Linked DNA regions of Arabidopsis thaliana. The protein of the gene in region 1 purifies or fractionates together with the protein of each later gene. This does not show direct contact. Each region holds a gene or a part of one and is shown on either strand. Other genes may lie near its edges.

What was found.
Region 2: the proteins of AT1G26550 (region 1) and AT4G31360 fractionate together in Arabidopsis thaliana (co-fractionation; one large-scale study listed by BioGRID). This does not show direct contact.

What each region holds. Positions count from the first base shown.
Region 1 is NC_003070.9:9,169,016-9,172,939, forward strand, and holds the start of AT1G26550 (FKBP-like peptidyl-prolyl cis-trans isomerase family protein), read left to right. Parts: upstream 1-2,102; 5' UTR 2,103-2,188; intron 2,189-2,774; 5' UTR 2,775-2,784; coding exon 2,785-2,917; intron 2,918-3,065; coding exon 3,066-3,175; intron 3,176-3,425; coding exon 3,426-3,568; intron 3,569-3,658; coding exon 3,659-3,701; 3' UTR 3,702-3,924. Other genes in the region: AT1G26540 (Agenet domain-containing protein), read right to left, coding at 1-49, 146-233, 315-479, 563-985, 1,340-1,780.
Region 2 is NC_003075.7:15,219,762-15,223,685, forward strand, and holds AT4G31360 (selenium binding protein), read left to right. Parts: upstream 1-2,081; 5' UTR 2,082-2,183; coding exon 2,184-2,506; intron 2,507-2,915; coding exon 2,916-3,012; intron 3,013-3,149; coding exon 3,150-3,209; intron 3,210-3,468; coding exon 3,469-3,549; 3' UTR 3,550-3,866; downstream 3,867-3,924. Other genes in the region: AT4G31355 (uncharacterized protein), read right to left, coding at 1-61.

The DNA.
Region 1 (3,924 bases):
TCAGTTTCAGCATCTTGTTGTTTCAATGGTGTGACTGTTATGACCGGGGCTGGGGTACATGTGAAACAGATTCACATTGACATTAAAGATCAGTATTAAGCGATGTAGAAACTAAACACAATGAGTTAAGGAAGATTATGTTTACCTATTGATGTTTCTTGAGGGGTTATGAGCAGATGAGTTTTGTCATTCATCACAGCATCAGCCTTGTTTTTTCCTAATTCTCTAGTGGCCTAATTTCAGGTAACGCAGATATGTTAAGCATAATCAAAGACATGGCGAAAGCAAAGGAAACTAGTGAGTGTCTAACTTACAGATACAAATTTTGCTTTAGTGGGTGTCTCGCTAATTTCCTTAGAATTCAGGAAACTTCTCAAATGCTTTGTGGCACTCGTAGGAGTCATTGACTTAGCAGCAGAACAAGAGCGCATTGGCTTCCTTTTCAAGATGGTTGGAGGAGTTTCTTTTATGGGTTTTTGCTGAAAATAGAAACAAACATAAAGCATTCATACCAATAAACCAAAACTGTCAGAATGTTGATTGAAACTAGTGTAATTGATACCTTTAGATCGTTATACCAAACTCCATCTTCCCACACCATGAAAGGCCTAAGATCTGAGTGTCTTATTGTAGATTCCTGCTGTGTAGCCTCTAATCTAACCGTGTAACGGTTCTCAGAGAGAATTTTCCTCACTTGCCCTTTATGCCATCCCAAACCAGAAAACGTCTCTACAGATTCCAACAATGCATACTTGTCAACTGAAGAAGGAGGCGGTATGGGTCTAACACGGCGCGAATTAACAATGTTGGTTGGTCTCGCCTCATCACCATTGCAGCTCAGGTACCTATTACAGTCCTTGACAATGAATTTCTTCTTATCATCCACATCAGTCTCTTTGACTACCATTGCAGGGGACCACACAGCTTCTTTGGCAGAAAACACTTCCACCATTGTCCCGGGGCTAAACATGGACTTATTCGATTCCTTCAAAGACAACAAATTAAAGTCTACTTTTAAGCATTCACAACCAAAACTAAACCTTTAATAATTTTAATCATAGCATATAACAAGAACAAAGAAAGCAACAAAATTTTGACAGCTACAAGCAAAAACAACACCGGATTTAAGAAAGGATCTCTTAACCATGGAACTATAACACTCAACAAACGAAAAATAGAGAAAAGTTTCAGCCTTTTGAAACTAAAGCTGAAACCTTTAACCATAACACGCAACCAGACTCAAAACGGATTAAAGCTTCAACCTTTTTGAAAGAGAGCAACAAAGAGACAGTTTCAAACATTCAAGCAAAGACCCACTTCGAATAAATCAACCTCATACCTCAATTTCTGGTTGGATCCAAGTCCCACCGGTCCAGATAAGATGAGTCCGCAACTGCTTTCTCTCGAACTGTATAATGTCAGGAGGCAAATCAAAATAAACCAAATAGTTGTCGTCCTCCATTTTCTTTACGACAACACCAGTCCACCACCCGTCTTTGTGGTCAGCATCCACCAGCAAACCTTCCTCCAAAACGACGTCTTTTTGTTGATTCTCCTCCGGAGGTACAGGTCTAATGAATCTCTGTTCGATGTGTTCGATTAAGGGAGACGAACCGTCCATGTCCAGCAACGTCGAGTAACGAACACGAAGCTTTCTGCGAGATGAGTTCCCTGGGTTTTCCTCTAAAACAGCTCTGAACCAAGCTCCTTCGAACCCTTCCTCTTCAGAACTGACTTCAACTACACAATCTTTCGTTATCTTCATCGTTTGCAGCTCCATCTCCGGAAAGTGAAAAATGTGGTTACTTTGTAGAAATAATCAAAACCCAGAACCCAAATAAGCAAAGAGTGAAGCAAAAAACCTCCCTTTTGTAAAACCCTAAAATTTCACTCTGATACTGAAAGACAGCTAGCTCTACAAATGAAAAGCAGAGACAGACATTTACGAAAATAGGAAAAATATTTATTTTCTTTTTGGCGCGATTAAATTTACGAAAAATAGAAAATATTTGATAAGAAGAGTATCTTATTGGGCCTAATAGCCCAACCATGAATGGCCAAGCCCATATTAATGAATGGGTTTAATGTTCCATCTCTAATCCCCACAAGACTTTTCAGCAAACAAATCTCTCTTTCTCTCTCTCACTCTCTGCTCGATCGTTCAATCTGATAGAAGAAGAATCTCAAGGTAAAGTTCTCGACTTTGTAAATTTCTTGGCTTCTCAATCAAATATTTCATTCCACTTTTAATAGTAACCTTTTGTGTTTTCTCCGATTGGTTTTGTAAACTGTTGGTCAATTCTCTGATTTTTAGGCTAGAAATTGAAAACTGGGGTTTATGTTATTTGCGCTAAATCTTCCGTCTAGATAATTGTTTTTCCATTTGCGATGTTATCTTGTGCATGGACGCACCGGTTCTATATTGGGCTCTTTGCGTTTCGATTGTCCAAATGTTAAATTACTCATTTTTTAATCTGTAATCTTGTTTTGTGTTTTGATCATTCTGAATTTGATGGATCTTAGCTTACTAAGTGTTTGATTAAATTCCCCAAAAGTTTCGGGTTGAAGCATTTTTTTAAGTTTACAAATTTGTATATCTGCTTCCAGTGTAGTAGATTCCAAGTCACTTGCATTTGGCTTTAAATCTGCATTGAAAAGTTCACTGGATTTATTTCAGGGTTTAGGGTTTACAAGATGTGTGTGGTGATGTTAAAAGTTAAAACCCTGTAATCTGATGGTGATAATAAAGTTTTAATCGTGGTTGTTTTTTATAGTTTTAATTCGATGGGGAAGGACGCAAAAGCTGGTGGGAAGGGTAAAGGAAAGCAAGCAAGTGGTAGTGAAGAAGCTCCCTCCAAGGGTAAAGGAAAAGCAGGAAAAGCTGCAGATGGTCTTGGGACATGCACTTATGTTAAAGGTGTGTTTTTTGGATTCGTTTCTGTGCCTGTTACCTTTGTTCATGAGTAAAAAATACTGGTAAACAAATATGGATCCAAAAGTTCTCTTACAACTTTTGTATTAGTACAATAGCATTAAAGTCAAATCTCCAATTGTTTTTGTTTCAGCAAGACATGTTTTGTGCGAGAAGCAAGGAAAGATCAACGAGGCCTACAAAAAGTTGCAGGATGGTTGGTTGAGCAACGGAGACAAGGTTCCTCCTGCTGAGTTTGCAAAGGTGAATATCCTTCTTCTTTTTTGTCTATGAGATCAAAACATCAATCTAAGATAGTTCAGATAGTATTGTTTATTCCATCTCTAACTGTGATATGTACGTAACCGCTTATAGAAAACCCACATTCAATACCTCATAGTTCATTGCTTTCCCGACATCTACAAGTTTCAGTTTTCGGTTAGATATATTTCGATAGATGTGTGTTATGAATTGTGGAGAATCTTAACACGATTTGTGTGTGGAACGATCTCAGATTGCAGCAGAGTACTCTGAGTGTCCATCAGGGAAAAAAGGAGGAGATCTTGGATGGTTCCCTCGAGGAAAGATGGCAGGTCCATTCCAAGATGTCGCCTTTAATACACCTGTTGGAGTCACCAGTGCACCCTTCAAATCAACGTATGTCCAAATCCGATCTCTTCTTTCTTCTCTTCTATCTGAATTTATCTTTATTAGTGGATGATGAATGTAATTGCGTGGTAATTGCAGGCACGGATACCACATTATTTTATCAGAGGGAAGGAAGAACTGACAGATACATCTCTGCTCTGCTACTTTTATGGAAGTTGCTACTGTAACCTTAAAAAAAACACAGCCTTTGTTGTTTTGGCCAAATTGTTAAAAAAACTTGTCTCGTTTTGAATAATGAATGCGTAACGGCCATAATATATGCCGGGTGTTGATTTCTGAAGTCTGAATATTGAGACACCATCTCTATTATAAGCTCGTCGCTTGGTTTCTTTGGCTTTGAGAAC
Region 2 (3,924 bases), on another chromosome or scaffold:
TTGGTGCACGGAAAATGGTACCCACGGCTTCAAACTTAGTCTGAGACTTGAGATTCGACATTGATCCTTCTTGGTACACACGGCTTGAAAATCACTAGACAAATGGATCATGTTCAGTTTCTTGTTTCAATCTTTAGATAAAGAAACACTCACGGCTTAAAACATTATAAGTCATTAGACAGAGACTTATAATTTTAAACAATGGAAATTTGGATAATAAACTTACAAGACGATGTTAAACTAACCGGATTTTGGATCCCATCATTGATCGTTAGCGATTCCAAAAATTCAGCTTGTCTTCCCATCGTTAAGTAGATTTATAATACAAGTTTCTGTTGATCCTTCTTGGTACCCTCGACTTGAAACTCACTACACATATGGATCATGTTCGGTGTCTTGTTTCAATCTTTAGACAAAAGAATACCCACGGCTTAAAACATTATGTCTTTAGACAGAGACTCGAGGTTCGAAAGTAACCAATCTTTTGTCAAAAAGATTGGATTTGGTTATGTTTGGTGCAAGGAAAATGGTACCCACGGCTTTAAACTTTAGTCTTTCGAGTGAACTGAAACTTGAGATTCCAACATTGATTCTTTTGGTACCCACGGCTTGAATATCTTTAGACATATGGATCATGTTCGGTCTCTTGTGTCAGTCTTTAGACAAAGATCAAGTTACCCACGGCTTAAAATAGTCAGAGACTTGAGGTTCGAAGTAACCAATCCTTTAGACAAAAGATTGGATTGGATTGGCTTATGTTTTGGTTGATGAAAAATGGTACCCACGACTTCAAACTTTAGATTGAGACTTGAGATTAGAACATTGATCCTTCTTTGGTACCCACAGTTCAAAAATCTCTAGACATATGGATCATGTTCGGTTTCTTGTTTCAGTGTTTAGACAGAGTTGGATAATAATGGACGATGTTGGGTTATGTTTGGATAATAAATTTACAAGACCAGATTTTAAACAATGGAAATTTGGATAATAAATTTACAAGACGATGTTGAATAACCGGTTTTGGATCCCGTCATTGATAGTTAGCGATTCCACAAATTCAACTTGTTTTTACATCGTTATGTAGATTTAGAATACAAGTTTGTGTTGAAAAAAAATATATACAAGTTTCTTATTTTTTTAGAAAAGATTCCCAAATTTTTCCATACGTTTAGCATGCTACCAACCTTGTAAGAGGGTTCGTCGTTGTGTGAGATTAGTGTAATTTGTTATGGGATCAGGATCAACCAATCAAGATTTCACCAACTTGCTAATATGTGAAAGACAGACAAATAGAGTAACAGTGAAGACTGAAGATGATGGTTGTGATGTGATGAACAAGTTCTAAAATATTTAGGTCCAAAAGATCTTCCCATGGAGCTTGGTTGTGAAAGTGCTAACTGAGATTTCTCCAACATGCACACATTGTTGCAAAAGCTTCCCCCTGCATTTTATTATACAAACAAACAAACAAAAATGTCACCATAATGGATGAATGTTTGTTCACCATGAGTATGCGACTTATTAACATATTACATTTTAGCATTACTACATCCAAATACTTCAACTATCATCATATATTGGAAATTTGGATTGATGGCTTGAGTCATAAAAACCTACAAAAGGATTGGACGATACTTTTAGTAAAATCTCTTAAAATTGTCCGCAGTGACCAAAATGCTAAAAAGCTAGAAGGATATACAGACTTTTATCTTACTTTATGTATCAGAAAATCAATATTTCTTAATAAATATGATAAAGTGTTTCAGTTTATTTTGAGTTTAGAAAAAGCCAAATGAATTGGAATCAAAATAATGTAGGTAAAAAAGAGAAGTGGAATTAAAATAAAATCATTCTATCCAATCAAAACGGTAAGTAGTTGTGCGTTTTAGAGGCAAAACACCACAGCGTTTCGAAGCACGTGGATGTGTCGTGTGATACAGCAGTAGCGCACTATTGGGCATTGAGAATACATAATCATAACCCCTGCAATCTAACGGTCAACCTTTTAATAACCCTTGTAGGTTAAATCTCTACCGTTTATTCGAATTACTTTTCCAAGGTAAGAAAAAAGCAAACACAAAAGGGAATATCAAACAACAAAAAAGTAAGAAAGAGCGGTAAGACAGAGACGGAGAAGAAGGAGAAGAAGATTGTTAAGACGAAACCCTGTTGCTGTCCGTACAATGCCGCCGAAGAAGAGTAAGGCAGATGGAGAAGAAAAGGCGAAACCTTTAACGACGTTGGCGTCGTCTAGAGTGACTCGGAGCATGGACAGTCGAACTCGAAGTCAGACTCAACAAAACGGTGCTAAAGCGGCTGGATCCGCCACTAAGCCGGCGACGAAGAAGGCTAAGAGGAAGAATTCAGCGATTGAGACTGGGAGAGCCAAGAAGGGAAAGAAGGAAGAGGAAGTTGAAGAGCCAGAGGAAGCCGTTGAGGAGGAGGTTGAGAAGGAAGAGCCAGAGGTTGAGGACCCTACGAGAACCAAGATTGTTATAGAACACTGGTAATTTTTGCGTAAATGTTTTCGATTTCTTTAGAGATAATGTTTGGAATCATAAGAGCAAAAATTTAGGTTTTTTTCTTTGAAATTGAATCTAAAAGCCTACAACTTTGGGGTATGTGTTGAGACTTGTGTGTCCGTGTGTAGCAGCTAAGGTTTATTTGCTAGGGTGGAACAATGTGTTAGGTTTTCATCTTGATTCTGCATAAGTTTTTGGTTTGAGTGATTAGTGGTTTATGTTTTGCTCGCATTTGTGAAGAGGACTTGACTATCTGCTTTCTGTTTGTGTTCTTGTCTTGCTTTAGCTGAATTGCAATGCGTAATGGACGTGTTCATTCTATAAATGGAATTTGCTTCTATACTTATGTCTCACAAGAGTTCTTTTTTGTTTTGTTTTGTGATGTTATTGAAGTAAACAATGCAATGCTTTCAAGACAAGAGCTATTCAGGTGAAGGAAGCTTTGGAGGGAGCTGTTCCTGGCGTCACGGTGTCTCTTAATCCTGAAAAGGTAATGCTTTTACTGCAGATGAATATATCGTCATGAATGCTCCGTTTTGACTAATGCGTTAGAGCATACTTTTCACATTATACTTGATAAGATTTTCTTCTAAATTACTAATTCTTTCTTTTGATGTGCTTGAACAGCCAAGGCGGGGTTGCTTTGAGATCCGGGAGGAAGGTGGCCAAACATTCATCAGTCTTTTGGTAAAAACTTTCATTCTAATAAAAACAAATCTCAATTTGTCTCGCTTCTGCATATGATTTGTTCAGTTTGAGTAAGGTTTATTGTTATTACTAATTCTCATAACACCACTTGCTCTATATGCATATGAGAATGAAAATCAACTTGATCCTTATTCATTACGAGAAATGTGTTATTGTGAGTAGAAATCATGAATATGTTTTTGCCTTTCAATCTTAACATAGACCTAAAGATGTAGATTATGTTTATCTCATTTTGTAGGAGATGAAACGTCCATTTGCACCAATGAAGGCACTTGATATGGAAGAAGTCATCGAGGACATCATAAAGAAAGTCAAATGAATCTGTTCTTTGTTTCTGCCTCGGTCTCAGTTTAATCAATTAGGTTTCTGCAGAAGACTTTCTAGAGTAATGTCAGATTTGTTAGGTTCACTTTTATTGTTTCGGTATGAGCACTGTAAGTGCAGTCTCGTCGTTTGGCAATGCATGATTAGTTGATAGAGAAGGATCTCTGTAGTTTTTGGGGTTAACTCGTATTTGTAAGGCTAGTTTATTATTCATCTCGTTGCTTGAAGCAAACCGATGCATAAGTGTTTTTTGTTGTTGGGACCATGCATGGTTCTAACAATCTATGCACTGGTTAAAGCATGTTCTAACACAATTAGAACTGTGTTACAAAATCAATAGGACAAACATCACATTTGCATTCAAAATGGC